4 linked regions of the Arabidopsis thaliana genome follow. The protein of the gene in region 1 interacts with the protein of each later gene in a pairwise test. Each region holds a gene or a part of one and is shown in the gene's direction. Other genes may lie near its edges.

Region 1 (6,967 bases):
CTCACGTTTGGCCTTATTTATCAATTGTTTGAATGTGAATGGTTTTCTTGCAGCCTCTTGAGACAGAATGCACAAAAATTCTTGATGGAAGATCTGTACAGAAACCCAGGACCGCTACAGTACGATGGTCCTGGTGCGGATGCTAAAGCAGTGAGTCTCTGTGTTGAAGATCAAGATTACATGGGACGTATCAAGAAGCTGCAGGAATATCTTGACCAAGTAAAAACTTTTTGTTTTTGTGTTTTTCTCTGCTAATTTCGTCAAGTATCGAATAATGTTCTTCGCCACTTTCATATTTATTAACATTTTTGGGGTTTGGTCAGGTGAGGACGATAGTGAAACCAGGATGTTCTCAAGACGTATTGAAGGCAGCACTGAGTGTGATGGCTTCGGTGACTGATGTTCTTACTACTATTTCTTCAAATGGTGGTCAATGATTTGCTTAAAACTTAAGGACAAAGCTCTTATGAATCACACACGTCGTGTTTGTTCTCTTCTTTTTGTTTTCTTTCTTTTGAGATGTAACTTTTGTTGTATTTTTTAAGTTATTGAGTTTGGAAAGACATAAAAATTGAAAAGGTTTGGATTATAGAGGCGCTATTTCACCATATCAATCCTTGTCCAACTTTTATTTTTCAGTTTCACTATTATTACAAACTTTTTTTAAATATGACAATTAGGCATGCATGCATGATGCATATAGCAATAGCATCGCTTGAACACGATTTTGTTTACAAAAAGAATCATTAAAATTTTAAGAGTTACATTTTTAATCTTAACTACACCAAAATACTAGAAATACAGTGTATCTTGCAAACTAACTTTAACAACCAATGACGTGTCATGTTCCCAAATCCCAGTTATAAATTTTGATAGATTTTTGACAGTATCTTAGGTACAGCTTTGGCATAAATACACTTTTATTTATTTTAAAAACTATCTTTAGCCTAAATACATTGTTAGTTATTTAAAAATTAGAAACTAAATGAAGAAATTATTTAGATATTAAGAAATATTTATCATTAAAAGATATTAGATTTTGTCATTTTTTTATATTAGTAAATTTTCTTTGTTCAACTAATGAAATTAATAACTAACAGATTATTTTGCAAAATGACAAACCTATAAAATATATATTAATATTTGATTTTCAAATTATCTTGCAAAATCATTCAAAAATTTAACTAAATTTATATTAATGTTGTATTTGAATTTTTCTTATAATGGTGAGATACTGAGATTATCCTTGATTAGAATTGATTGTTACTTTTTTTTGGTAATAATATGTTGTCTATTATTATATATATATATATATATATATATATATATATATATATGTTGAAAATAACACAAAAATATTCACATACGCCAAGCAAAATAGAATCATGAATAATTTGCCAAGAAATTCTCAATTTGATTCATCTTCCATCATCAATGATTTACCTTTAGACCTTCTCGACGAGATTCTCTTCAGATTAGAACCCAAATCTATGGCTATGATGCGATGCACTAACAATTCTATCAAATCATATTTAAGTGATCCAAGATTTGGACCGGAATATCCTTCATGGGTCAGACCTAGTTTGTTTAACCTTGGTAGCTATGGCGCTACTTATGTATGTTGCCATCCTTTGGTCTCTTCATGCGATTATATGTCACCGGGAAATGGAGTAGAACTGTTTGATGGTAGTGCGGATTGTTACATTTTCGGCTCATGCTCTGGTCTTCTCCTATTGTACATTGGTTGTCTCTTTGTTGCAAATCCCTTAACAAAAAGGTTTCGAATCCTGGATCATTCTGGATCAAAGCTTATACCAATGATAGTTAATGGTGGACTTAAAGGTCTTAGCGGAATTAGTTATCCTGGAGGTAATGTTGCTTGTACGGAACGAGCGATGTGCGTTGGATTTGCGGTAAATCGAAATCTAACAACCAAGAGATTCAAGATCGTGGGCATACTCGAGATGGAAAACGTATACGGATTCGAGATCAACGAAGGAGACTCTTGGAGATTATCGGAAACGAGTATCACCACTAGCTCAAAAAGTGATCTCACTACGCGGATGAAACCTGTTTACTTGGACAACACTCTTCACTGGCTGAGAAACGATGGCAGCATCATGTCTTTTAATCCCGAGACAGAGCAAGCATGCTTGATTCCTTCCATATTTCATCGGGAACCGGATACGAAGCTACTTTTCGCGGAAAGCGTTAAGATCAATCGCCTGACCCTAATTTCGGGGACGATAGAAACAATCTCCGTTTACACACTTGTCGAGAATCACAAATGGACACTCACAAGGCGGATCAAGAACATATCTATCGAGGAAGAAACGCTTGTATATTGGAACATAGCTATGTACGATGGCAAGTGTCTTGTGGTGAGGGTGAAAAAGATGGGTTTAGAACCTTTGGCAAGTGTTCTTCATGTGTACGACATGGAAGCTAACAGTTGGGGAGTTTTGGTGTCAACCCTTGCTTGGCCCAATTGCGTCCGAGATTTCTATAAATTGACGCCCTCCTTGTTCTTTGTAGAGGAGGATGAGCAACAGAAGGTGCTTGTTGCTTCTAATGACCGACGCATCTCCTATATAAATTCGATTATGGGACTCATTGATACCACCAAGTAAACATTTAGGGCCTATAGATTATACAAAAAATGTCCTGATTTATAAGAATGTTTGTTTCCCATTTGCTTTTATCATTGCACTATTATGGTTTATGTATTTCAAATCTAAAAATTAGTTGTATATTACTATTTCTTTTGGGACAAAAAATCATTTAAGACAATGTTGTTTAAGAACTTGTTCTTCTCTGGCTTGTCAATTTTTCGTCCTGCCCAATAAAGGCCCATCTTGTGTGTTTTGTCGAATCTAACAACAAACTCACACCTTTTGACCAAAAAACAAACTCTCCCCTTTTTTTTTTCCTTTCGTGTAGCTAAACCGTCTCCGGATGTTGACAAACATTGGTTATTCACTTTTTCCACGTCACACTTAAAAACAGAACATAAAAAAAAAACTAATGACGACGCTCCAGTTTTGAATTTTGAAAAAAGAAAAAAAGAACCGTTGAAAAAACATGAGTGCTCAAAGAGGGAATATACCTTTTTAATAATCTCCTTCCTATTTAAACCAATTCTCGAATCTAATTACATTTCCTCTCTCTTTCCCCAAATTGAAAACAAAATCTGAGATTCGCGAAGGAAGAAGAAGAGTTGTCTTGAGAGATTGATAGAGATGGACAACAATGGAGTTAAACCCGCTGTTTCCGCCATGGAAGCCTTTGAAAAGCTTGAGAAAGTAGGTGAAGGGACTTATGGGAAAGTTTACAGAGCAAGAGAGAAAGCTACTGGGATGATCGTTGCTTTGAAGAAGACGCGTCTCCATGAGGATGAAGAAGGTGTTCCTCCCACTACTCTTCGCGAGATCTCTATCTTGCGTATGCTCGCTCGTGATCCTCACATCGTTAGGTTCGATTTCCTTTTACATTTCTGATTCGGTTCAGTCACTTTCTGAAATTCTCCGATTTACTGGTTTTGATTGTGGATTTAGGACTCAATTTCGATTTCTAGGGTTTAGTCCCGATTAATTGATGTCTCAATTGATTTGATGACTCTGATTCTTCCTGCAAATCGCGCTTAGTGTCGCTCTTAGGTGTTACTGGTAGATCTTAGTTTCAGTTTGCTATTTGTTGTGTGGTCCGATCGAGATAAAATGGGTTCCTTATCTTATCCGAATACTAGAAAATGTCAAAGTAGAAGCTCTGTGTTGTGATCTCAGTTTCAACTATTTTTGTGGTGATTGCATTTCTACTGAGAGATTATTGTTATGATGATTATCTTCTTCTACAGGTTGATGGATGTTAAGCAAGGAATAAACAAAGAAGGAAAAACTGTACTTTACCTTGTTTTCGAGTATGTTGATACTGATCTCAAGAAATTCATCAGAAGCTTTCGTCAAGCTGGACAGAACATTCCACAAAATACTGTCAAGGTTTGGATATTTGGAGATTTTGTTCTGCTTTTTTTCTCTCATCCGATAAGCCCCTTTAAGCTAAGAGAAACATGTTCTTGAATTGCAGTGCTTGATGTACCAGTTATGCAAAGGCATGGCTTTTTGCCATGGTCATGGAGTGTTGCACAGGTAAAAATCGTCTTTGTTTTGGAAGAACTATGACTTGAGATAACCCATTTTGACACAGATCTCTAATCCTACTTGTCTTGGTTTCATTACAGGGATCTTAAGCCTCACAATCTCTTGATGGACCGGAAGACAATGACGCTCAAAATAGCAGATCTTGGATTAGCCAGAGCCTTCACTCTCCCAATGAAAAAGTATACACATGAGGTATATAAGTCTACGTTGATGAAACATTAGTCCTGTTTCATTCTAGTTTTTTTTTTTTTTTTTAATTCTATCTTAGTTTATCTGGAGTTATAACTCAGGATGATTTTACCCCCATGATTTCATTTGCAACAGATTCTAACTCTATGGTATAGAGCTCCGGAAGTTCTTCTTGGAGCAACCCATTACTCTACTGGAGTGGATATGTGGTCTGTTGGCTGTATTTTTGGTACAAAATCTTCTCTTACAGTTTCACTGGTTTCAGTTCAATGTCACTAGCAAGAACTAACAGTTTTGTTTCCTTTTTGATGTGTAGCTGAACTAGTGACCAAGCAAGCAATCTTTGCGGGAGACTCTGAGCTCCAACAGCTCCTCCGTATATTCAGGTAAGTCTTTGTGTTCATCTTTACCTTTAAGACACAAACATGACATTCGCTAACTTGGTTGTTCTGTTTCTTTCTTTCCTGTCAAACTCAGGTTGTTGGGAACACCAAACGAAGAAGTTTGGCCTGGAGTAAGCAAACTCAAGGACTGGCATGAATACCCGCAATGGAAACCGTTGAGTCTCTCCACAGCTGTGCCAAACCTCGACGAGGCTGGACTTGATCTCTTATCTGTAAGTCTCTAGTGTCTAACACACCTCTCAGACCTTGCTTGATTAGTAGATAATCACTCTGCTGAGACTAATTTGTGTTTCTCTTTGTGCACAGAAAATGCTGGAGTACGAGCCAGCAAAACGAATCTCAGCAAAGAAAGCTATGGAGCATCCTTACTTCGATGATTTGCCTGACAAGTCCTCTCTCTGAGGCTCTCTTTATAAACTCTCAATAGGATATTTTGTTCTATCTCTGTCTTTGCTTGTCTCAAGCATTTATCTGCTATCTTAGGATGATTGAAGTTTCAATATTCCCTTTTGATTGGGTCTCTATTCCCAATTGTATAACCTTCCAACATTTTTATCAATGAAAGAATATATCAGTTTCTCTAATATTTCAAAGTAGCAAGATTTGCAACTGTTTCCCATTTGTGTAAGTGTGTGTGTGTGGATGTTCAGGCTACGAGCCACATGAAGAATGTTGGCCAGACAGTGAGAGAAACTGAAGCCAAGGCATAACTCCAGAATAGAATCACAGAGCATTCACTTTCTCCTGATCCGAATAGTTGAGTGATTGTACCTGCCAAAAGGTCAAGTGAGTTTATGAGAAAGACAGTGTGATGACATGTTTTGGTAGTATTTTTGTGAGTCTGAAGAACGAACCAAGATTCATCGCTGGGGGAACGACATACTGAAGCAGAAGAACAAACTGGTAAAGCGGTTCGGATGTAACCAAACCCAAGTAATGCGCTCCTCGTACTATGAAAACTCCTAATATTGGCAGCAACAAGTAACGCACAACCACCACACCCATTATGACTGACTTGTTTATTCCTGAACCTCTCAGACCTGTGATTATTATAAGAGAGAGAACAGAGATTTAAGGTTTTGTCTTAGGAAAAAAAGTTTCTGCAGCCATTTGTTATTGTTTATCTACCATTGAGAAGGTTTCCTCCAACAATCAGAGTCAGAACAGGAATCGCCCCGTCCCTTCAAGAAAATTAAGCTACTCAAGTAAGCATTGTTAATTATCACTGACAAGTGAGATTTTTAATATGTTGTAGAATACCCCAATAGAGATACTGAGTCCTCAATCACTCGAAGTGGAGCTGTGTTACCGACTAGTAGCTTCCGTAGTAAAGGATTTAACCCAACCGCAAGCGCGATAAGCTGAAGAGAAAGAGGATTAGTTGCTTAACTAGTAAGAACATACAGAAGCTAGATAGCAGTCGTTTAGTTCAAGGGAACATTGAAACAAACCGCTGCAATAGTTGAAGGAGCAAATATTGTTCGTAGATTGATTTTCTCTGCTACAGAGCACACTCTTTGTTTGACCTTGCCCCAAGTCCCAACCTTGTCACATATACATTCTCTCAAAATCAGTAAGTTGGCTAACAAGAATATAAGAAGGAAAAGTTTAGACTAATACCTGTTCCGCAACTTCGACTTTGGGAGAAATCAGTGGCATTGTAGACGAGGTACTGTTTATTGCGGTTTCTCCAGCAGGATTTGCTAGCATCCGCATAAGATTGTATACATAAGTCCATATGTAAATGGCTCCAATCTGATATACATCACAAAACGTTTTTGACTTGTATTGGCATTAAAAAAAAACTTTAGTAGAGAAGCATAAGAAGTAGTTAAGAAATGGTGACATACCGCCATAGAGAGTGCAATATAACCAAGTCCAAATTTCTCACAAGACTCAGGATCTCCAAAAGGACTTCCCTTTTCATTACATATAGCTGGGATGATAATGAGTGGCATATTCCCCAAATTCCCTGTTGGATTACACAATCTCATCACTGAATCTAAGAAAATGAAAACAGCTTTTGTAAGATGATATTAAAGTTACCAGCAGCACAACAACCAACGATGATGCCACGGAGATGCGAAGGAGGTTTAGTGATTTTGATAACAATCCAACCCAAAAACGAACCAATGATGAATGTTAGCAAAACATTAAGTGGCATGAACCACCTGAAAATGACCCCAACAAAATCAACATTTCATTTTCAAGAAGAAT
Region 2 (9,644 bases), 1.7 Mb from region 1:
TCCAAATGTGATGGTTTGTGAAAGAGGAACCATGTTTGGATACAGTAAGTTAACTGTTCTTTGTGTCAATAGAATTCACCAATTTTTTTGCAAATAGAGACTAAAATAGACTAAAAGACACTGGATATAACTCCTGAGTGTCCTTACATTTTAATTTTGTTCCTCAGATGATTTAATAGTAGATCCACGAAATTTGGAATGGATGAGGGAAGCTGATTGTCCCGTTGTGAGTTAATATTGCTTCTTGTTCTTTTCTTGTTGTGGGAGTTTATATCTTGGCTTTGGCTTTATACTTTGATGTTTTGACACTCGTATAATATAATTTAGTTATTGGCTTCAGGTTGCTGATATAACTCATTCATTACAACAACCTGCAGGCAAGAAGGTATGGTCATTAGAACGATGCTCTGAGTAATTTAAGAAAATGCTTGGTGTTTTAAAGCTAAATCAGAATTGGTCTAAACTCAAACATACCTTGTTTATATAGTTAGATGGTGGGGGTGTTGCTAGTGGTGGCCTTCGCGAATTAATACCATGCATAGCAAGAACCGCCGTAGCTGTTGGTGTCGATGGAATTTTCATGGAGGTATCCAACTTTATCGCAAGTTTTGTCATCTCGCTGAATCTTTGTTCCAATTTGGTTATGAAACTTGGTTCATTTTCCGGTGAATTAGGTGCATGATGATCCTTTAAATGCACCGGTCGATGGTCCAACACAATGGGTGAGTTTTACTTTTTTTCAGACCATATCCATTAGTCTAACACAATGCATTCTTGATCATCGTTTTTCTTCCCGTTCAGCCTCTGCGTCATCTAGAAGAACTGCTAGAAGAGCTCATTGCAATCGCGGTAAGCCCTTTACATTATCCCATAAAAATTTAATCTGTTTCCTTTTGTTGTAACATTGGCTCTTATAACATCTTTGCAGAGTGTCACAAAGGGGAAACAACAGTTCCAAATCGATCTCACGCCTTATCGTGATTAGAATCAAAGGGTGTGTTAGTGACCGATAAATCAAGATAGAAATGTTGAACTCTCTTTGTTTGTTTTCTCATCATTTGCTGATTCTTTTCTGCATTTTGCAGGTCCGTACGTCACTTTGGGTGCAACTACATCTTCTTGATAATATTTCAATCTTGTCGGAGCAATAAGCATTATTTGGCAAAACACATCTCTCCACAGTGACTAATGTATATTCAAAGTAGCTGATGTTGCCTGATATGATATCAAATGTCTAAGTTTGTTTTATTTTTGAAGAAATAAACAACAATTAGAAGTTAAATTACTTTTTATGTCAACATAAAGCACTTTTTCTATACCTGATCTTGTAGTCTTTTCTTTAAGTTTTTTTACATAATGCATGGTTTCTTTCTATGGACTTGAAATTTATGTTGTTGCACTTGCACAGTATCCTCTGAGAAACTGAACAAACTAACAAAATGCAAACAGTGAAGTTCTTTTATTTTATTTTTTCAGAATAATAGAATGATGGGTCTGACAAGCTCTAGGTTGGATTAAAATGGGCTTGGGTAAACAAAGCCCAAACAAAAGCAGAAAATACGTAGCAACAGAAGGGGCATAATCGTAAATTAGATAGGCTCAATTTCAAATACTTGAGAAGCGGCGTCGCTACTTTTGGGAATTTGCAACGGTAGAACTCTCTTGCAATTGGGTTTCTGGGAAGAACAAAGCAGAAGATCTGGAGATTTGAGGAAAATGGCGTTCGCGAAGGTACGTGAAAATCCTAATTTCTTCAAAAAACGAGTTAGGGTTACTACGTTCATCGCAGATGAATTTGAGATTCGAGCGAGGGCTTGTTATTTTAAACGAGATTAGGATTAGGGATCTTGAATTGTTTCGAAGATAGAAGATATTATGGTATTTGCCTATTTCTGCTTCTTTTATCACAAGATTAGATTCTTGAGTTTTCAGTAGCTTACTACTCTCAGATTTGGTTAGTTAGATCAACTTCATCTTAAAATCACAGGGGATAAAGCCTTGCTTCTTATTTCACTTACGATTGATTTACTTTTGTAGGCACCACGACTAAGTAGAGATGATATTCTTGGAAATCGAGGTAAGAGAGACTATTTTATCCTCTGTTAGTTACTTGGTGAACCTTATTCAGTTCTAAAAAAATGTTTACATGTTAAACAGTGAGTACTAGGAGTTTCAAAATCTTCTCCGATAATCAGAAAACTGATCCAGCCAGTACAATGTAAGTGGATCCTCTTGCAATTCATCTTTCAGTAATCTGAATTAAACTGTTGCTATTTGTTAATCTGGATTAAACTGTACCTATTTCTTTCTGCAGAGGTACTTCACAGAAGAAGACTCGTATTCCTTTGAGGTTTGTGTTGCTGTTTTTACAATTATTCTGTTTTCTTCCATCCATTACATGATGTATTTACTGGTGCATATTTTGGCTTGATCATGAAGAAATTGACTTTACGAATCTGTAAGAATTAATCTTCTGCTTTTACATTGTTTAGGAGAAAGTCTGTAACAATTAGCAATGGTTTAGGAGCAACTTCTAACACAAACAATATGAAGGTTTATCCCTTTTCCCTGTTTCTGAGTTCATACAAGTGTTGGATGTTATGCACTTATTCACATGTTAATGCACTTTTGTTTTGATTCAAAAAGAAGGAAAATTCGAGAATCACAGGAAAGGGCAAAAGCAGTATTGAAAACTGGGGTAAGCTTTATAAGGGAGAGTATATCTTCATTACATTTTTGGGACCTAGTTTTGAAAGTTAACTCCGATATTTGTCTCCTTTTCAGAGGAATACACTAAAGTCACAAGAAAAGCTTTGGCTGATTTAAGTAATCTTGGTGGGAACACTCTAAGGATTCCAACGCTTTGTGGCAGCAGTACCATGTAAAATTGCTTAACTTTTAAGGGTTTTTTGTTATCCCTCATGGAAAAGAGTTATTAACTGCCATGGTCTTCACTTCTTAATCAGTTAGTTAGTTTTTATTGTACTGATTTGCATTCTGTTCTAAAACTATTCTACTGAACATGCAACAATGCAGGAAATGGAAAGGTGTAAAAATGGCAAATCCGAAAAGGTATGCAGTAATCGTTAGCTGCTGCTATACACATCATATACATGCAATACGTTACATCTCTACTTAGGATTAGTCGTTCATCTCAGTTGATGAGCTTTTACAGAACGAATCCGTACAGTTCCATGTATATAATATCTGATGTTTGAAAATGAGTTGATGATGCTGGGCTAATTGACCTTTCCATGTGTAGGGTCTCAGTTGGTCCAACCAGAGCTAATAATATCTCAGTGAAAAAGTCTACTAAGGTATAGCAAGCGTATTGGCAAACTATATCATGTTGTATACTTGCAAATTACTATGACTAGATGCAGTTATGAGATTAACCAGAATATCACAATTCATCAGCATATGAGTTACAGCAAATATTACAAACTTTGTGTCTTAAAGCATGAGATTCATCAGTTAAACTACTTGATGGCCATTTCCTTCATTTTTCTTGCAAGCCTTGATTCTAGATTGTTTCTTTTTTCTGATATAGGAGAATGTGAGTAAAAGAACCACCGAACTTGGGAACAATAACCTTTACAAGACAGGTGACTTCCTAAATGTTATGTTTGTTTTCATGGCTATGGCTTTAGTTGATCTTTGCCATTTATCTTAACTTTGTTTTAAATCATATTTTAGGTCAGAAATTCATCAAAAACAAAACCTTGAGCCTTGGATCAACGGCTGGTGGAACAAGGTACCTTCGTGCTAATCTCATGCATAATAGATTATCCGCTTCCAGACTAGTTTGAAGAATTTTCCAAGAAAAAATAGATATCTTGTTTATGCCCTACATTACCTATCAATATGTCAAAGCTCTCATCAAGTAACCTGTTGTTCATTCACCATAGCGAAAACATTATTAATCTACCAGCCATTTTCTTTAGTATCTGCTGAGAATGATTTACATCATTCATTGATTAACTTCCTTGATTGATTTGTGCTTGCAGAAAGTCCTTACCAACTTTAAAGAGAACAAGCCTCACAGATAAGAGCTTAAAAAAGGTTGTTATCAATCTAATTTGAGATTGTTTTTTTTTCTTACAACTGGCTGTACAACAACTCGTGAGGCTAATCATTTAGGACAGTTTACTAATTGTGTATTTACTATCTTGGCGCAGTTCAATGTCTCAGGCTTAAATTCGAAACAATTGGGTCAGGGTCTAGGTAACATGGATTTCTTTTCTAACTTCTGATGGAAATGTGTATGTTAAAATTGTAACTTGATTGGTCAGTATCTGATATGATTGATGTTGCATTGTTTCAGCCAGTAAAGCCAGCAACCAAGCTGTCCCGCAGCTAAGCAGTGCCGGAACCTATACTTGGAAAACTCGAACAAGTGTCGGCTCTATACAATCGTAAGTAAATATGCTTAATTCTGATATCATCATTAAATAAGTGAAGTTGTTTCTCTCTTGCGTATCACACATGTCTACTTCCAACTATCAAATTGTCTACATTCACAGAATCCTTGTTTGCATTTTCATTATCAATGCACGACTTTTTTACATCTTGGAGAATCAGATTATTTTTTTCTTTTATCGTTTGTGGGCAGCAACTTATATCCCAAGTTGCTAAGTTTATTTTCTTTACATGCTTAGGGACGGCAATAAGCAGAGTAAGAATAACGTCCGTTTCGTAAGGAAATCTATCAAGGTATACACCTTAGTCCTTTCATATCTATGCAAGTGATTCATTTCCATTAAAGCCACACTATTTGGCCTTGGCTATTATCATCATTGAACTGCTAAATCATTCTTCTTTCATCTTTGTTTTCTTGCTCGTGATCATTTCATCGGGCAATAGTTACAGTCGTATTGAGGATTTTTGTTTATTAAATATGTGATAAGCTTTCTCTCTTACTCAAGATCCAGACAACTGTAAAGACTTCGCTACAAAACCGTAGCTCTCTTAAGAAGCCCCCAGTGGGTAGAAGTAAATCAAGATCTATTTCTTCAATCCCTTCTTCTGCAGTTGCCTCAACACTGTCACTTCCGGAAAAGGTTGAGACAAAATGTCTTGAAGAAGACACTCAAGGAGAGAGTTCATCTAGTGGAAACAAAGACCCAACAACAAAAGTGTTGGATGTTACAGCGAAGCCAAAATCAAAACGTAGAAAGTCTTTCACATCTCTACTAGTGAATGGATCAAAGGTTCGTAATTTATTAGTTGTGTTGTTTCTTGTGACTTCTTTTTCTCTAATATTACTAATTTGGTAATTTTACTTGCAGTTCGATGAGAAAAATGGTGAAACCACAGAGCCAGAAAAACTTCCAAGCATTGATGATGAATCCAATCAGCTGGAAGTTGCAGAATATGTGGATGACATATATCAGTTCTATTGGACTGCAGAAGTAATCCACTTATTTCTTCCACATACATCAACTTCTTTTTCTCTAATATTACTAATTTGGTAATTTTACTTGCAGTTTGAATATTGAATTTTAGCTTTCCAGTAGCTTAACGTGAAATATTGTTGCAGGCATTAAATCCAGCTTTGGGACATTACTTGTCAGCTCATGCAGAAGTCAGTCCAGTTACGCGTGGAATTTTGATCAACTGGCTTATCGAAGTGAGTGCAGTATATTTTTGGTTCCATTTCAACTTGATATTATCCCTACTTCTTCTTGTGGAAACTTAGGTTTTACTTATTGTTTGCAGGTTCATTTCAAATTTGATCTAATGCATGAGACTCTTTACCTGACAATGGACTTATTAGACCGTTACCTCTCCCAAGTTCCAATACATAAAAATGAGATGCAATTGATAGGTCTTACTGCACTCTTATTGGCATCTAAATATGAGGACTACTGGCATCCTAGGGTAAGAGACATTTATCCTGAAAGCTAATACCTCTCCTGAAAATAGACATTTACAATCTATTTTCTTTGTCCATGTGCAGATCAAAGACTTGATCAGCATATCCGCAGAATCATACACCAGAGAACAAATCTTGGGAATGGTATATAATGAACTCTGTTTATAGTCAAACTTCTCTATTCTTTATAAAAAATACGGGTCATTTGCGTATTTCCCCTTGTAACTTATCCTAATTTTCATTTTCAGGAGAGAAGTATGCTTAAACAGTTAAAGTTCCGTTTGAATGCACCCACCCCCTATGTTTTCATGTTGAGGTTCCTAAAAGCTGCTCAATCCAATAAGAAGGTACGCGAAAAACCTGCATTGTATGCTTTAATAACCTATAAAATTCTTCTGTTTGAATAGGTAGACATTGAATAGTATTATTTCTATTATCAGCTTGAACAACTCGCCTTCTACCTTATCGAGTTGTGTTTGGTTGAGTACGAAGCTTTGAAGTATAAGCCATCACTGCTATGTGCATCAGCCATTTATGTTGCCAGATGCACTTTGCATATGACTCCAGTTTGGACCTCGCTCCTAAACAACCATACCCACTACAATGTCTCCCAGATGAAGTAAGTTAAAATCTCATTAATAACTCCTCCTTGTAGATCACTTAGACTAGTTACATTCTTTAACTAATCTTACACAATTTTCTTATCACAGGGACTGTTCTGACATGATCTTAAGGTTTCACAAAGCTGCTAAAACAGGAAACCTGAGGGTCACTTATGAGAAGTACATAAATCCAGATCGCAGTAACGTCGCAGTCTTGAAGCCCTTAGATAAACTCCCTCTCTAAGTTGAACTATACAAAAGTCATGGCAAGCCTGACCAGTCTAAAGGTGTGTATATATATACATATGTTCATGAGCTGAAAACTTGTTTTCTATTCGTTTTCTCTATTGAACTGATCTTGTTCATCCTTACTCGGAAATTGCAGGGAGATACAACATTTACATGGACTCTAGCCGGATATTAAGAAAACTCAGGCTAATGGTGATTCTTTGATTAGGTGTGTTGGTTTTTTTCTGTGTGTTTAACCACTGAGTAATATTACTGTTTCACATAATCATAAAGACAAAACTCCATTGTATTGATAACGTTGTATAAAGCTTTTGGAACAACATAACAATTCTAGGTTTCCCAAGAATTAAGTCAACCAGATCTACTCATATATATGAAACCTTTAATGTAAAAACTATATACACCTGAGAAGTGTGACCTTGAGTGTCTATATCGCAACTCTACTTCCACTATGAGCATGTGACTAAACAGTCTGTTGTTACAAACATATCCTCTGTCTCCAATGTCCCTCTCACCGCTTGATAAAACTTAACCCATGAAGATGAATAAGAGTCCACAGGACTGAAAAAGAACGTAGGATTAGGACTGCTTGCAGGGGAAGCAGTCACCAAATCCAAAACCGAAGCTGCAGGTTTGAGCTGTTGAGGGAAATTGAAGGCCAAGTTATCGACTTTATGCTCATAGATTTTGCCATTACGGTCGAGTTTATACCGAGAAGTGCCTTGAAACTCTCCTTTAGCTTCCCATGGAACTCTAGGCACACCCTTGAGATTCCACCTGATGAGAATCATGTTCTCTGATGGTTGCCATACTCTGAAGATCTCAAGTGAGATATCTCTGAACAATATCTTCCCATGAAATCTGAGTGCCCAGAAGATAATCTTGTAGTTGTCCATCCCAGTGAATGTGTTCATCGGATCCACAAATGTTATATCATCCCTGTCAAACAAAAAAAATATTCTGAATTTCTAAGAGAAACATTCACAAACAGAGAGATCAAAGGAAGCTCCTTTTTTATACCAAAATGATAAATTTCTGAAGATAGCATCCAAAGATTCTTTCTTTCATCAATTATCAAATACCCAAACGAGAAATTTACCTGTAGATGTCGTAATTAAGATCTCTAGTGAAGAGCAAAGGCAAATCTTCACGAAGTGTACGGACAGCGACACCAAGATTGATATAGAATTCATCTCTGTCGTGGTTATTATGCTTATCTTGCGAACTGTGTCTTGTCTGAACTTGCGTGTCTTTAAGAGGAGGAGACTGGATGCTCAATAGAGAGAGTGTAGATAGATTCTCTTCTACAAATTCGTAGCTAACAGAAGACGAAGACGATAGAGATTGACTGAAAATGGGTTTAAGGTTTGGGTATTTTCCGGTTTGAAGATGGATTGACGGAGATGATAGATTAGAAAGAAGAAAAGCCATTGCTGCTGGATTTGAGAGCTCGTCTTTGTTTCTTCTTTACATTTCCATGGCGTCGATTCTGAGCCAGAGAAATGTTGTCTTGTGGAGAAGAGCAATGAAGCACGGAATTTTGTCGGAAGATAGATAAAAACCATTTTGAGTGGTTTTCATTTAAAATTCATTATTTTATTATATATGATTTTATCTTTATTTTGAGTTTAGTGTTTGAAACGCTATTAATGTCGACGATTAGCTTCAAACGACACACAATGCGCATTCGATAAACAGAGACGGCACAACGTTCAAGTATCTATATAGACAAAAACGACACGAAGAGTACATAAACTAAAGAACTAATTATAGTACTACAAATTACTACTTAAAATCTAGTTACACTTGTGTTCAGGACGATGAGTGAACTCAAAGTCTATGTGGACAAAAGCTCGTTCTACTTCAGCGAGCTGCTCGAGCTTTTCCTGAAGAGTCTCTCCGATGTTGTGAGCCTCTTGTAGTCTCATGTCCTCTGGCAAAACAATGTCCACTTCCACAAAGTAGTGTGACCCAAAAGTGTAAGCCCTTACTGTGTCAATATGCTTAATTTGTTCGTGATGGTTCCATATCAAGAATGTCAGTTTCGCCAAGAAATCTGGTGGCGCAGAGCGGCCGATCAGTGAATGGACGTTCTCTAGTACGGTTCTTGCCCATGTTGCTATGGTGTACAAAGCAATCTGCAACCATAAAAAGGAAAAAAAAAACGTTTTAGTAATCCGACGAGACATTTCTTGATCATTTTAGATTCCTAAGTTAGTTACTTACAAGTATAGCACCGGTAGGATCAATCCACCAGTAGAATTTGACGGCCAAGACAGCTGTTGCTAAGCCGATTGAATTAGTGACGACGTCAAAGAGGTGATCTTGAGCATAGGCCCTAACGATTTCGTTCTGAAATCCTCTGCAATAAAGCATTAGAAGAAACTTCACGATGGTGACAGAGACCATGATACCAATCATCCATTTCTCCTCTGTGCTATTCATATGAATACCACTCTGTAACAAAAAACAGAATTGGTTAAATACATTAATTAACCGATGAAAGCAGTTACCTGAAAATATGTAAAGTACCTTGGCAACTAGTTGCCTTCCTGACTCTAGCAAAACTTGCAGTCCAAGAGTTGCCATCACGGAAGCAAACACAATGATACCCTGTAAATTTACATTATCAGTTCTATTTTCTTGTGAGACAAGTAAGTTCCAAACAAAGGGGTTAAGAGATCAAAACAGAAGAAGCATACCACAGGTTGCATCCGGCGCTTTCCGATAGGATAGTGAAACTGGTTTGGTTTTCTCATGGCATTAGCTGTAAACCAGAGGATAAAACCAGACAAGAGATCCAAAAGAGAGTCCAAAGTTGAAGCAATCACAGCCATGGATCTACTCTCCATAGAGGCATAAACTTTTGCTACAAAAAGCACCAAATTTGTTGCGTTCGATATGTGAACCGCAAGTCT
Region 3 (6,218 bases), about 11 Mb from region 1:
ACAGGTGAACTATGTGGGAAAAGCGGGAAATATATACAGCAGTGGCTACAAACTTGATGGGAGTTCATATGTTATATCAAAGCATATTAGTAACACATGGTTATGGGATCGTGTTCGTGTAAGTGGTGGTGCATATGGAGGTTCCTGTGATTTTGATTCACATTCGGGTAAACTGTTTTTCTTTTCCATTTTGATTTTGATCTGACAGAGTCTTCCCCAAGTTGCAAATTCTGCGTCAGACCTGACCTTTGGATTTTCTCTTGCACAGGAGTATTTTCGTTCTTATCTTACCGTGATCCCAACCTATTAAAGACTCTAGACATATATGATGGAACTGGGGATTTCTTACGTGGCCTCGATGTCGATGAAGACACCCTTACCAAAGCAATTATTGGGACAATTGGCGATGTCGATTCATACCAACTCCCTGATGCCAAAGGTTATACCAGGTATGATGTTTATTTATGGGTTCTTCTCTGGTCTTTGTTGGCTTTTTTTCAAGGAATGTAATGAATTTCAATCTAATTTCCCATCTCTATCAACAGTTTGTTGAGGCATTTACTTAATGTAACCGACGAAGAGAGGCAAATAAGGCGTGAAGAGATATTATCTACAAGGTTAACAGCATTCTCTCATTTTTGCTTTAGCGTATATACAAATCAATTTATACAACTTTTTCACTTTCCACATAATGGTATGCCGCGGATATCCTGTGGGGATTTATGAAATCCTTGGGGACAATGTTGTGATCTGAGTTTTGTAGTGTTAGGAGTTTAACGACTTCTTTGAATATTACCAAATAGCCAGTTGCAATTCTTCGACATAGTTATTATCAAACAGATAAGAAAAGTAACTTCCATTTTATCCTTTTTCAGTTTGAAGGACTTCAAGGAATTCGCAGAGGCAATAGACTCTGTTAGTGATAAAGGCGTTGCAGTGGCCGTGGCATCACAAGAAGACATTGATGCAGCAAACAGAGAACGCTCAAATTTTTTCGAGGTGAAGAAAGCAGCTCTCTGAGTCTGAGACCCTCTTAGAAAGTAGCTTGTCACAATGAGGAATGACTCTTCTTAGGTTCACGGTACGACGCATCAAATCTCTAAGCTCGTACTTATTTGTGTTTTACTTCACTGTGTTTTGTATAGTTATATATGCCAACATCATGACTTATCACAGTTGAAATTTAGCATTTTTACCTGAAAACACAGGCTTTAGCTACTGTTGCATTTGAGTTGTTACTTTTTTGGACAATTTTTCTTTCGTTTTAGCCTTTGCTCTTTAAGAACTAAGAATCCTAGTTCTATTTATATTCCATTATCGTATCAAGATAAGCTCTCGAGGATTTTCCTGTACCTTTTAGGTTATAAAACCAGTTTCGTTTGATTCACATTTTGTTGAAAATGATGAGTCAAAATAGACATTATATTCATCATTGGCTGGGATCGGATCGAACAGTGCCTGTTCTTGTTAAAACAAATGGCTCTCAGTCATACAAAAGATGCATCTATTATTCATCATGTGTCGTGATCTTGTTATTGTCATACTATCTAATGTGACTACTCATGCTTCATTTGTTTTTGTTTGTGTTTTTGAAGTAGGTCGTAGGTCTTAAACATTTCCAAGTGAAATTGAAACGCTTATTCTTTTAGGACATTGGCATCAAGATCTCTATGTTACTTTTATAAGTGAATTAGTCTTTAAAGTTACTTTTTATTAACATTGATTCATAAAGATAACTTTTGTAAATTAGCCCATAAACAAAGATACTTGTATTGATGAATCTTCTTCGTCTCATCCTTTTACCATTATCCTTGAAAATTCTGATTACATCATTATTATGGATGAAAATTAACGAAGAGTCTTCTTTTTTTTCTTGTGATAAATTTTAAAATTATTGAAGAAGCAGAATCGGACAATTGAAGCCTAGATTATTTTTTATTTATTTTTTGCAAAATGAAGCCTAGATTCTAATATTTCATATTTTCGATATTGTACATGTGTAACTTTAAAAAAAAAAAAAAAAAAATCCCAAGTAAATGCTTGTTAGCACAATTATTATGTAACGGTCAATTATTGCTCATTATTTCACTGCCAAAAAATAACGAAAATGGTCCCATTTTATTAGAAGGAAATAAACATGTTGTATGTGTAAAATTCTTAACCCATTTTTGGACATGTACAGATTCCATGTAAAAGCTGGATTTTAAGTTGGTTTTTTGTTGTTGTCATTTAATAAGTACTATTTAATTGATTGTATTTATAGTTCTGTCTCCATGTGAAGCTGCTCATAAGAAAGTGAATGCTTTAGACTCTAATCTATGTGCCTAGTTATATCCTTAAGAAGTTGATATTTAGAGCTTATGATAGAAATTATGAATCAGCAACCATCAGAATTATTTTTTTTGTTTTGACAAATGTATTTACGTGTAAAAGAATATAAGTTTAAGAAATCTATAGTAGAAAGTAGATTAATTAACAAAAATTACTGTCACAACTCACATTTCTACAGCTTATAGGACGACGTTTTAGTTTTGGGTTGCTTTAAAAGGAAGCTAAAAACGGCAAAAAAGACGCGTCGTTTAGAATCCCGACGGCGTCTACGCTCCGTAACGACGCCGTTACCTGCTTCCCCGTGAACGGGACTCAGTTTAAAGGACCCCACTCAAAACCGGCACAACAACGGCCCATCCGCTATAGGCAAGGCCCAATAATTAAATCTCAGCCGTTGAATTAATCAACGGCTCTAGATCCTTCATCTTCCTCTCCCCCAAATACCCAAAACCCTTCCTCTGTTTTTATTAACCAGAGAAACCCCAACTTTTTCATAAACTCTCTCCAGAGAAAACTATAATGAGCTTGAGAGAAATGAGCGAAACAAAACCCAAGAGAGATTCTGAGTACGAAGGATCAAACATCAAGAGGATGAGACTCGATGATGATGATGACGTTTTACGCTCACCGACGAGAACTCTTTCTTCTTCTTCCTCTTCTTCTCTGGCTTACTCGGTTTCAGATTCCGGAGGTTTCTGCTCCGTCGCGTTATCTGAAGAAGAAGACGATCATCTAAGCTCAAGCATCAGCTCTGGTTGTTCCAGCAGCGAAACTAACGAAATCGCTACTCGTCTTCCATTTTCAGATCTGGAGGTGAAATTTCGAAACTCGAGATTACAAATTTTGAAATTTCTCTGTTTCACAATAAATGCTCTCTGAGCAAGATCTGATTACGTTTTTTTGGATTAATTAATTTTGTTTCCGTTTTCAGGCTCATGAAATCTCCGAAACCGAAATCTCAACGTTACTCACCAACAATTTCAGGTTAATTACTAAAAAAGACGTTTCAAAGATTTTTCAATTTCTTCATTGTTTCGTCTATAAATTCATAATTTTTGGAATTTCACAGGAAACAGGGAATTTCATCAAGCGAGAATCTGGGAGAAACAGCAGAAATGGACTCGGCGACGACGGAGATGAGAGATCAGAGAAAGACGGAGAAGAAGAAGAAGATGGAAAAATCACCGACGCAGGCAGAGCTTGATGACTTTTTCTCGGCGGCGGAGAGATACGAACAGAAACGATTCACAGAAAAGTGAGTCTTTTTTAGACCCACACACACGCGCATGATAGCAGAGATCCTTAACTTGCAGTTGTTTAAAACATGTATAGGTACAACTACGACATCGTCAATGATACGCCGCTTGAAGGTCGGTACCAGTGGGTTAGTCTGAAACCTTAGAAGCCATGGAAGAACAAAAAAAAAAAGAAAAAGAAGAAGAGACAGTGCTAAAGTTACACGTCCTAGTACTGTGATTTTTGTCACAGACAGAAGAATTTTTAGAGACATTTCATTGTACAGTTTTTATCTAATTTTAATTTCATCATTATCTTCATCTGTTCTTCGTACCAAGAGTTTTTTTTTTTAACTAGAAGTGTTAACATATATTTGAGTTTAATTCTCTCTGTCTCGGTGATATTGTTGGATTGTTCAACAAAAAAAGTGGGGTTACAACAATTAAAAATTGGAATTATTGTGTCAGTAAAGTTTCACTAATTTTTGTCAGTTTTGTTGTAGTGAATTTGGTGTTGTGCACATTATTAGTATTTTCATGAAATTGGGAGGATTTACGTATTTATGAATTTGGAAAACTATTTATTGTTTTGATTCTCACCTTGGATGTTTATAGAAATTGTTTTTTTCTCTTCTTTTTGTTGCTTGTACTTTATATGCTATTTTATAACTTTTTTATTTTTCTTGTTTCGACAATTGTTTTAGTGAAACAATAATGGTAATAGGAAGAAGAAAATAAATATAGATTTTAAGGAAAATGGGTAAAATTAGAAAACCATAACGGTATATATATATCATACACTTGGTATGTACTTTCTCTATAGTTCGAATGAATATTCCTCTAATTTCCTTGAAATAATTTATTTTATTATTTTATCAAGAAAACTTTATGAACAAAGTTGAATGTTTATTTATCAAAAAAAAAGAAGCAAATTTGAAAGCTTTCTCGATGATTGACGTTTTTTTTTCTTTCTGAAATTTAATTTTCAAATTATAAATGAGCTTTACGGCAAAAAATTAAAACTTTAAATGGCAAGAATACAAAAAAGGAAGAGAGAGAAGAGAATAGAGAGGATCTCATCATTACCTGATTCCGTTGGGATTATATTCCCTTTTTTTAATTTTCTTTTCTTATTTTAATTTCCTACAGCAGGCAAAGGCGCGTGACTCCACGTGCTTTCTGTTATTTTAGTTTTTCTTTTCATTTATTCTTTTTTCCTTTCCCTTATTTATGTACTTTTTTTGCGAACTGACTGTTATTATATTTTACTTAACAACACGAATTTAAATTTGAAAAGAATTGAAGAAAATAAAAATAGTGCGATTAAGGAAAAAAACTAAATAATAATGTACGTCATAATTAGGTTACCTCTTCCAACAAGCCACGTGACGAGGGAAGGGTATTTTAGGCATTGTACTCACAAAGTAGTGAAACATATAATGTTGTGACTTGGTGACCAGGCAAATGTAAGTTTTGCTTTCTATTCTAACTGTTCCTATCCTGCCAGGTCAAATTTTTCACAATTTTTGTTTAAAAAATAACGAAGAACAATAAAACTCTAGTGAATATATATATATTAGTTAGCAAGTATTATTTCATTAAAAACGGATGTTATTTTTATTAGTTCGAATCCTTTTCCATATTCTACTTTCATGTCTATTTTTTCTTTTTTCAAAAACATTTTAACTTCAGAAAAAGTCATCTTTAACATTATCTCTTTGGTCAGCGGAAGTAATATGGGATGTAGAGGAAAGAATGGGTAAAAGATGACCGAGTCTTTAGTTATGTAAAAATTATGATTTTTGTTTTTTGTTGAAGAGAGAGCTTCTTTATTTGTGATCATCATTTATCATTTTTAAAAAGTTTAAGAACAAATGGATATATATATATATATATAAGTACTATATATTGTGCTTACTCTATATTTCATTGGGTGGTATAGTATTTGTTTTGTTTCGAGTAAGGATTGAGAAAATGTACACAAAGTTCAAAATGGGTGAAAACAAATTACTAGCAATAAATATGAGAAGTAAAAGTGGGGGTTAATATTACAAGACTCACTGCATGCACATGACTTGGATCTTGTGAAACTTTCTTTCCCATTTCATAAACATCAGATCCAATGCCTACCTATAGGCTATAGAATGTTGAACCTTTCCCACTCACACAAGTTACCCCTACCTACACGTGTGACTGGTTGGTTATTTATCGAGTTCATTGGCAATGTTGTAAATTATGCTGAGTTATTTACCTGGCTTATTTTTTATTCTTCAAATAGCGTAGCATTTAGTGTGTTTTAAATAAGTAGTGTGTTATTTTACTCATAAAACATTGTTAAAAATAATATTAGCTATTTAAAGTATACATTATTTAAATCAAAAGTTTGGTTGACAAAAAGAAAGAAGGAGAAAGTACAAGTACACTATCAGTATCAGAATTAACCAATTATCTAAATTTGCAATAAAAAAACATAAATTTAGTAAAAGGCCGAAAACTGTGAGATATATGAACCCAATACGAAGGAGAATAACTGTATTGGGTTTAGAGGATTTAATGGGCTTTTATAAATGCAGTAATAACTGTATTGGGTTTTAATGGGCTTTTATAAACGCAGTAATGGGGCATGATTTTATAACTCAAAAACCTATCTCA
Region 4 (7,229 bases), on another chromosome or scaffold:
TGTGTTCCACCGGGAATGCATCGTTTCAGAGGGAACATATGGGATTTTGACAGCAAACCAAAAGTTATGCAGACCCTCGGATACCCTTTAACGATGAATGATAGAATCAAGGAGATAACTGAAGCAAGAAACATCGAACTTGGACTCGGTTTACAGGTACAAAAGCTATTACTTCTGGCTTTGTCATGTGATATGTTACTTTCCTTCTCTAAACTTTTTTCACTTACCTTAAATCACACAGCTCTGCTTCTTGCATCCTTCAAAGCATAAGTTTGAACACCCGCGGTTTTGTTTTGAGCGGCTGGAATATGTAGGACAGAAGATACAGGTGAGGATAACGATCTCTCATCTTAAAAGATCAAAAGAACGGTTCTTTTCTTTCTTTCTTTTTTTTTAACCCGATTTTTCGTCTCGGGATCATGCAGGACATAGCAATGGCTGAACGTTTGTTAATGAAGCACTTGGACGCACCAGGGAAGTGGTTGCAAGAGAAGCATAGACGTCTATTAATGAACAAATTCTGCGGCCGGTATCTTAGAGAAAAACGTCTTCACAACTTTATAATATACTCAGAGGAGGTTCATGATCGGTATGAACATAACCGGAGACTTAGGAATCCGGCGACAACCGCTGTCCAACAAGCCATTCACGGCCTCGCCTACACCATCTACGGGAAACCCGATGTTCGGCGGCTCATGTTTGAGGTTTTCGACTTCGAACAAATCCAACCTAAAGCTGTCTGAAAATCGAAGCTGTCTCTCTCATTTGTCTAATGTCTTTTAGTATACTACTGGGTTTGATTTATGTAGTTAAATGCTTAATTACCTTTGGTGAAAAGTTGAAAACTTTAAACTAGCAAAATGAGCTTCATCAGTATAATCTTAGGTTCATCAGTTTCAAATTTGTTGCCACCAATTCAAAGAGCTTCTTCTTATGGTTGCATACCTTGAGAAGAGAAACTGAATGTTGTGAGTAAAGTTTCTTCTTAAGGTATTTTGTAGTTTCCAGGTCTGCAAGTGAGTAAAGCTCCTGGTTAAATCCATGTATGAGCTGCATCTCCCCACTTGAGCTCTTCTAAAGCTACCCTCAGCGAATGGAGTTGAAATTGTGTTTAGATGCAACAGGCTCCAATTTAGCTATAATCTGCTCAACAGCGTCTAAAACTGCAGCACCATACATATCAGAGCTCGCAGAAGCAGCAGTAGGTGACGCGTTAGGAACCTATTAAGAGGCAATCAAAACGACAAGGGAGCAATAACAGTGTGTGAGGCATTTGGAACCTATTAAGAGACCACAAAAATGATAAGAGAGAACAATATCAGTTTTGTCTTGGCCAAAAAGTCCACTGAGTGCATGTAACCGAGTTAGATGTACCTTGTATGTGCTTGTTTCTGACACAAAAACTGAACTAAGGGGAATGACACAACCTTTGTATGCAAATCCTTGACCCATTTCAACACCTCCATGTGTCACCAAAACAGTCCCATTGGTGCAAACATGAACAAGAGCACCGGCCTGTAATAATAATATGTGTTGGAGTAAGTATCTTAAAATCCAGATTCTAGATTTGCAAGCAAAGGTAGTGCAATGCTGAGATTTCCAAGGAAGCTTCATCTTATTCTTTTACCTTTAAAGTTCCTCGAGAGATGACTAAATTTGAAAGAAAAAGGATTCACTTCTAACATGATTCATGAACTTTGTGGTAAATGAATATGACAATTGTGTGGGAACCATAGCTACACCACACCATGCAATGTGCGGAAGAGAGTGAGATTAATGTGTGATGGGATCTTTGCAGTTGAAAGTTCATCTCCTAAAGTCAAGAAAACATTAAACTAACAAAATGAGGACAAACTTTTACCAATTTTCACATTTATAGAAAAATATTCAACTCACTTTGATTTCTTCAGGGGCTCAGCTGAATCTAGTTTTCAATGGTTGCAGAACAAAATGAAAATGAAAATTTTAGTATCTCAAAATCTAGTTTCTATTTTTTTTGGTGACATTAATCAATGATTTCAAAATAACTAAAAACCTCAGAATAAACTCAATTCCATCTTAAAACCACACAACTTTCATAACCGAGGAATGACGAAAAACAAAATAATAGAGGAGGAGCATCACTACTATTTTCATTTTTTTAGCCAATCAGAGCGCACCAGAAAACGCCCACTCGCACCAACCTCGTGCCACGCGCTACAGACCACGCCCACTCGCACCAACCTCGCGTTGAGCGCGTGTCGTCGATTTCTGTAGGGGTAAACCCACAAAATCATGCTTATTTTACATCTACTCGCTTTGTTTCCAAAACAGTCTCGAGTGACTTTTTTTTTTGTTTTTTTTTCTCTAAACCGTACTAATTCTAATGCAAACCGAACCAAAATCAATTTTCATTTCAAAACCATGTAAACCAAACAGAGATCAACATCTAACTAACCGGATTTAACTAGCAATCTAATTCACACAAATCTTTTTTTTTTTTTTTTTTCCTATATCCTTCACAGTCAATAAAAAGAATAAGTGGGCCGTTGTGACTTCAAAATCCCAATAGTGAAAAAGCCCGATTTCGTGTCTCTACAGCCGTAAGGCCCGTAACAAGCCCACGACCTCTAATTTTTCAAAAACAATCAGACCGTTGGGGTTCATTTATTTTCTTTAATTTTGTTTTTATTTCTTATAAAACGGCTCATCGTCCTCAAGAAGCCTCCTATATAGAAGACGCCCCCACTACTTAGACTTTTTCTACTACAAACCTGAGATTTTAGTCTGAGAGAAAGAGAAGAGAACACTAAGATGATGACTTCTCGTTCGATTGTTCCTCAACAATCCACGGGTAAGAGAAAGATCTTTGCTTTTTCTTTTTTTAAGGTTTTTACGGACAAAATTTGATTTGGTTTAGTTTGTGATCTTCGATTTTGGTATCTGGGTTTTGTTCGTTTCTTTCTGTTCTTGTTATATCTATGAACAACGAAACGAATATGTTGCGAATCAAGTATAAAGTCCGTGGCTTTGACTGGAATTTTCTTGATTTGATATGGCTGATGATTGTTGCAAATTGAATCTAAAGTTGTTAACTTTGGTTTTGTTTTGTTGTGTTGAAGATGATGTTGTTGTGGTAGATGGCAAAAACGTAGCGAAAGGAAGAAACCGTCAAGTTCTTGGTGATATAGGTAATGTTGTTCGAGGAAATTACCCAAAGAACAACGAACCGGAAAAGATCAATCATCGTCCTCGTACACGATCTCAAAATCCCACGCTTCTTGTGGAGGATAATCTCAAAGTTTGTTCCTTTTCCCCTGTATTTTGGTGAACAAATTAGGTTTCTTCGTTAGATTTGTTAAACTCATGTCATATGTGTATATGTCTTTGATCTGCAGAAACCTGTAGTCAAGAGAAACGCAGTACCAAAGCCGAAGAAAGTGGCTGGGAAACCAAAGGTAGTAGACGTGATTGAGATAAGTTCAGACAGTGATGAAGAACTTGGTTTAGTTGCTGCTCGAGAGAAGAAGGCTACTAAGAAGAAAGCGACCACTTACACATCTGTTCTTACTGCTAGAAGCAAGGTAATTTTTTACCTTGTGAAATGATGATTCTTTAGTGTGAAGTAAGAAAATGTTTTGGTCTGTTCTGAATAAACTTCTTTTGCTTTTCAGGCTGCTTGTGGTTTAGAGAAGAAACAGAAAGAAAAGATTGTTGATATCGATTCTGCTGATGTTGAGAATGACCTCGCAGCTGTGGAATATGTGGAAGATATTTACAGTTTTTACAAGTCTGTTGAGGTTTGTATACTATACTATTCATGAATCTTTCCTTGCAGCTTTGTTGTAGTATTAACTTGTTTACTTAAATTATCATTTGGATTGGCAGAGTGAATGGAGGCCACGAGATTACATGGCATCTCAGCCTGATATTAATGAAAAGATGAGACTGATCCTGGTGGAGTGGTTGATTGATGTGCATGTCCGATTCGAGCTAAACCCGGAAACATTTTACCTCACTGTTAACATTCTGGATCGGTTCTTGTCGGTTAAGCCAGTGCCTCGAAAAGAACTGCAGCTTGTTGGTCTCAGTGCTCTTCTCATGTCGGCCAAGTATGAAGAAATTTGGCCACCACAGGTGATAAAAACAGAGAACTTTTGAATCTTCTGGTTTTGATTCTTTTTTGTCTTCGGCTAAATGAAAAGATAATTCTTTTGCAGGTGGAGGATCTAGTTGATATTGCAGACCATGCATACAGTCACAAACAGATTCTGGTGATGGAGAAGACAATACTGTCTACACTTGAGTGGTACTTGACAGTTCCGACTCATTATGTCTTCCTAGCTCGTTTCATCAAAGCTTCCATTGCAGACGAAAAGGTAAGAGAGCGTTTTTTTAGTTTCTTCCATGGTTATACATTTCATCATATTGAACATTCAGTTGTGTTTTGGTTTGCAGATGGAGAATATGGTGCACTATTTGGCTGAGTTAGGCGTAATGCATTACGATACGATGATAATGTTCAGTCCATCAATGGTAGCTGCTTCTGCAATCTACGCAGCAAGATCTTCTCTCCGCCAAGTTCCCATATGGACCAGCACTCTCAAGCATCACACTGGCTATTCTGAGACTCAGCTCATGTAAGAAAGTTCCTTTCTTTTTTCATTTGCATCATATGCGTTTTGCATTTGTGGTTGGATATTCATTCTTGTTGTAATGATGAAAAAGGGACTGTGCAAAGCTGTTGGCGTATCAGCAATGGAAGCAACAAGAAGAAGGGAGTGAGAGCAGTACTAAGGGAGCTTTACGAAAGAAATACTCCAAGGACGAACGCTTCGCTGTGGCTTTGATCCCTCCGGCCAAAGCTTTGTTGACCGGAACTGAATCTGCTTAGGAGTTAGGACCCTTTAAGAAGACGAAGAAGCTGAAGAACCAAGCCTAGTTTCATTTTCCTTCTGAAAATCAAGTCTAGTTTCATTAGATAATGGTATTTTGAACAAGTCTAATGAGTCGCTTTGAAACCTAGTCCTTTAGCATGATTCATTCCCAAACACTGCATATCTTGTAAGAAGTCAGTTTCTTCCGAGAAGTTTAATTTCCTTAGATATAATATTCTGTGGTTTAACTTCTTTAGTACACATGATTCATTCCCCAACACAGAATTTCTCTTCTTTTTTTTGATCAAACACCCCAGCACAGTATATGTTTCACCATTTCTTGTGTTCCTTCTGGTCCCGTCCATTCTGGGTTTTAAAACCACCTTCTGGTCTGCAAGATCCCCTTAAACAACTAAGCACTCCCATCTTTGGTGAGCATTTTGTTAGCCACAACCTCATAAGTCTAAATGGAAGTGCTAGCATCCATGCGGAAATTGTAAATCCAATCATCTTTGGATCTTCATCCGGAAAGGGAGAAGGTTTACCATATTAAGTTCCAAGGCCCTTTCTTCTAACCAATTCTTTACACCAATCCAATGTTTTAGATAACCGTGCCTCGAGGATCTCCAATATTGACCGTTTCCTTCTCTTTTCATCTTCAAGATCAAGAGTACGATATGCTAGTGTAAGCAAGTAGATACCTGGGTGCAGTCTCCTGGAGAATACAAAAAGTCATATATAAGTTAGATTACTTCACAAACAACAACTAATACAGAGATGTAACCAGACTTTATTGACTGAGGAAAAATGTGGTCAACGCAGATACAAGGATGCCAGTAGAATATCTTAAGCTGCTTTCTCTTCATATGTATAGTAAGCTTACCCATCCAGTGTACTCCCCTCTTCCAGGCCATCCCAGAATCTTTGTGCCAGGACCGTCCTGCTCTTTTTATCTTTCCCATAAGTTTCAACATACCATCCTCCGACATCATGCAAACCACAACGAGGCTCAAACAACCAAAACCTGTTTTCAAATCCATGCAATTATGGTTTCATGTCACTGAGGTAAGAAAGATGAAGGCTACGTTAGGGATCAGTATCATAAGTTCAGCATTCCAACAAAGATCACTGACTACTTCAGCATTTCAACAAAGGAAACTACAGAATTCTGTGTTCCAGATATCAATTTATTGAATTGCATTCTAACGAAGATGAAAACAGTGAAAAGGCTGTCCAATCTTGTTATTTTATCGAGTTAAAGGTGAGCCAGAACTAAAATAAAACAAAAATAATATTTGGCTTACTTGCTTGGTGGTAACTTCGCTCTACTGCATCTACATTCACAAATGGAAACCTTTTCCCCAATTTTGTACCAGTGCAAATGTCTCACCTGTAGAGTGTGGATGAAGAATTTTCATACATGCCTATTCCATCAAATAACTAGCGGATCATATCTCTATATGCATCACAGAACAATTCCCCGAAAAAGTACACGTTGTAATTTGCGAAAGGTACATAAAAAGAAATGCTAGATCATATAAGTCACAAACCAGAAATGTCCTATGTTTCATTATCACATGAGTCTTAGCACCATTCCCATCATAGACATAACATGAACCTTCATCTGGGATTGTCCCAAGACCACTTATAGTTCCAACAAGAAGTCTGGCACCACTTTCATTTCCCGGAGGCGATTCAGTGCCATGATTAGATCCTTCATCTGAATTGAGGAAAACGTGTATAAGATCGTGATCACCCTCAATTTGTTTCTTTTCATGATACCCTTTTGGGGGAACCCTAATGGCTGTAGCAACAACTCTTCCAGATACATGCAGCTGAATATCTTTATACGCATCAGAAACATGGTTTTTACTTCTTGAAGATTGTATATGAGATATCTGAAGACCAATCCTTTCAGCAGACATCATGTCATTGTTGCCTTTCTCAACTGCTTGACCAAGGTCCGAATCCATAAACGACGACAAAGCCAATTTCTTTGAGCAAGCAGAAGAAAGCTCAAGGAAGTTATCAACCAAGGAAACCATACCAAAAAGATCCCGTCCTGATACCAAATGCAAAACCTCTCGTGTATCATACACAGACCTTTCCTCAGCTTCAAAACAATCAGGAAGAAGCTCAACAGATTCAACATCAGGCCCAAAGTAGGCCGCTCGTATAGCTGAATAAAAATCTTCTTCAAGTTCATCTAAGTAACCAGTACCATTTGCTACTCTCTTCTCCAATACTATATCATGTATTGCTTCTCTATACCACTTTAACCATTCAACTACTTCCATCTCTTGACTCAATGTCAATCCTGTTTTATACCTGTGAATCATATAACCTTGTCCCGAGTGCTTCTTCATTACCATT

The links.
Region 2: the proteins of CDKB2;2 (region 1) and CYCB3;1 interact in a two-hybrid assay, tested with the Arabidopsis thaliana proteins (one large-scale study listed by BioGRID).
Region 3: the proteins of CDKB2;2 (region 1) and ICK5 interact in a two-hybrid assay, tested with the Arabidopsis thaliana proteins (one large-scale study listed by BioGRID).
Region 4: the proteins of CDKB2;2 (region 1) and CYCB1;1 interact in a protein complementation assay, tested with the Arabidopsis thaliana proteins (one large-scale study listed by BioGRID).

Annotation. Positions count from the first base shown.
Region 1 is NC_003070.9:7,290,937-7,297,903, reverse strand, and holds CDKB2;2 (cyclin-dependent kinase B2;2), read left to right. Parts: upstream 1-3,157; 5' UTR 3,158-3,239; coding exon 3,240-3,472; intron 3,473-3,853; coding exon 3,854-3,995; intron 3,996-4,083; coding exon 4,084-4,145; intron 4,146-4,237; coding exon 4,238-4,349; intron 4,350-4,481; coding exon 4,482-4,575; intron 4,576-4,662; coding exon 4,663-4,732; intron 4,733-4,823; coding exon 4,824-4,962; intron 4,963-5,056; coding exon 5,057-5,152; 3' UTR 5,153-5,396; downstream 5,397-6,967. Other genes in the region: AT1G20950 (Phosphofructokinase family protein), read left to right, coding at 54-219, 324-437; AT1G20940 (F-box family protein), read left to right, coding at 1,386-2,630; AT1G20925 (Auxin efflux carrier family protein), read right to left, coding at 5,397-5,521, 5,605-5,790, 5,879-5,931, 6,011-6,111, 6,202-6,294, 6,371-6,505, 6,601-6,722, 6,797-6,921.
Region 2 is NC_003070.9:5,579,464-5,589,107, reverse strand, and holds CYCB3;1 (cyclin b3;1), read left to right. Parts: upstream 1-1,646; 5' UTR 1,647-1,716; coding exon 1,717-1,731; intron 1,732-2,037; coding exon 2,038-2,077; intron 2,078-2,157; coding exon 2,158-2,218; intron 2,219-2,314; coding exon 2,315-2,350; intron 2,351-2,492; coding exon 2,493-2,553; intron 2,554-2,646; coding exon 2,647-2,698; intron 2,699-2,784; coding exon 2,785-2,881; intron 2,882-3,036; coding exon 3,037-3,072; intron 3,073-3,262; coding exon 3,263-3,317; intron 3,318-3,550; coding exon 3,551-3,605; intron 3,606-3,696; coding exon 3,697-3,754; intron 3,755-4,007; coding exon 4,008-4,062; intron 4,063-4,178; coding exon 4,179-4,224; intron 4,225-4,324; coding exon 4,325-4,415; intron 4,416-4,658; coding exon 4,659-4,713; intron 4,714-4,925; coding exon 4,926-5,210; intron 5,211-5,288; coding exon 5,289-5,411; intron 5,412-5,539; coding exon 5,540-5,629; intron 5,630-5,718; coding exon 5,719-5,880; intron 5,881-5,959; and 8 more. Other genes in the region: ATKDSA2 (Aldolase superfamily protein), read left to right, coding at 1-44, 168-226, 341-385, 488-586, 675-722, 802-849, 929-985; AT1G16320 (plant/protein (DUF2358)), read right to left, coding at 7,176-7,665, 7,826-8,157; AT1G16310 (Cation efflux family protein), read right to left, coding at 8,523-8,864, 8,953-9,183, 9,259-9,339, 9,429-9,644.
Region 3 is NC_003070.9:18,363,207-18,369,424, reverse strand, and holds ICK5 (Cyclin-dependent kinase inhibitor family protein), read left to right. Parts: upstream 1-2,680; 5' UTR 2,681-2,850; coding exon 2,851-3,144; intron 3,145-3,262; coding exon 3,263-3,315; intron 3,316-3,400; coding exon 3,401-3,586; coding exon of another isoform or gene 3,587-3,590; exon of another isoform or gene 3,591-3,663; coding exon 3,664-3,733; 3' UTR 3,734-4,089; downstream 4,090-6,218. Other genes in the region: PREP2 (presequence protease 2), read left to right, coding at 5-167, 269-449, 546-617, 876-1,020. UniProt on the Arabidopsis thaliana protein: Binds and inhibits CYCD2-1/CDKA-1 complex kinase activity. May target specifically CDKA-1.
Region 4 is NC_003075.7:17,619,773-17,627,001, reverse strand, and holds CYCB1;1 (CYCLIN B1;1), read left to right. Parts: upstream 1-2,693; 5' UTR 2,694-2,793; coding exon 2,794-2,833; intron 2,834-3,101; coding exon 3,102-3,280; intron 3,281-3,377; coding exon 3,378-3,563; intron 3,564-3,653; coding exon 3,654-3,779; intron 3,780-3,867; coding exon 3,868-4,116; intron 4,117-4,199; coding exon 4,200-4,358; intron 4,359-4,437; coding exon 4,438-4,619; intron 4,620-4,707; coding exon 4,708-4,873; 3' UTR 4,874-5,116; downstream 5,117-7,229. Other genes in the region: AT4G37510 (Ribonuclease III family protein), read left to right, coding at 1-156, 242-328, 426-743; AT4G37500 (Aldehyde oxidase/xanthine dehydrogenase, molybdopterin binding protein), read right to left, coding at 1,087-1,221, 1,375-1,614; AT4G37483 (uncharacterized protein), read left to right, coding at 5,182-5,409; AT4G37480 (Chaperone DnaJ-domain superfamily protein), read right to left, coding at 5,406-5,571, 5,740-5,880, 6,161-6,246, 6,407-7,229.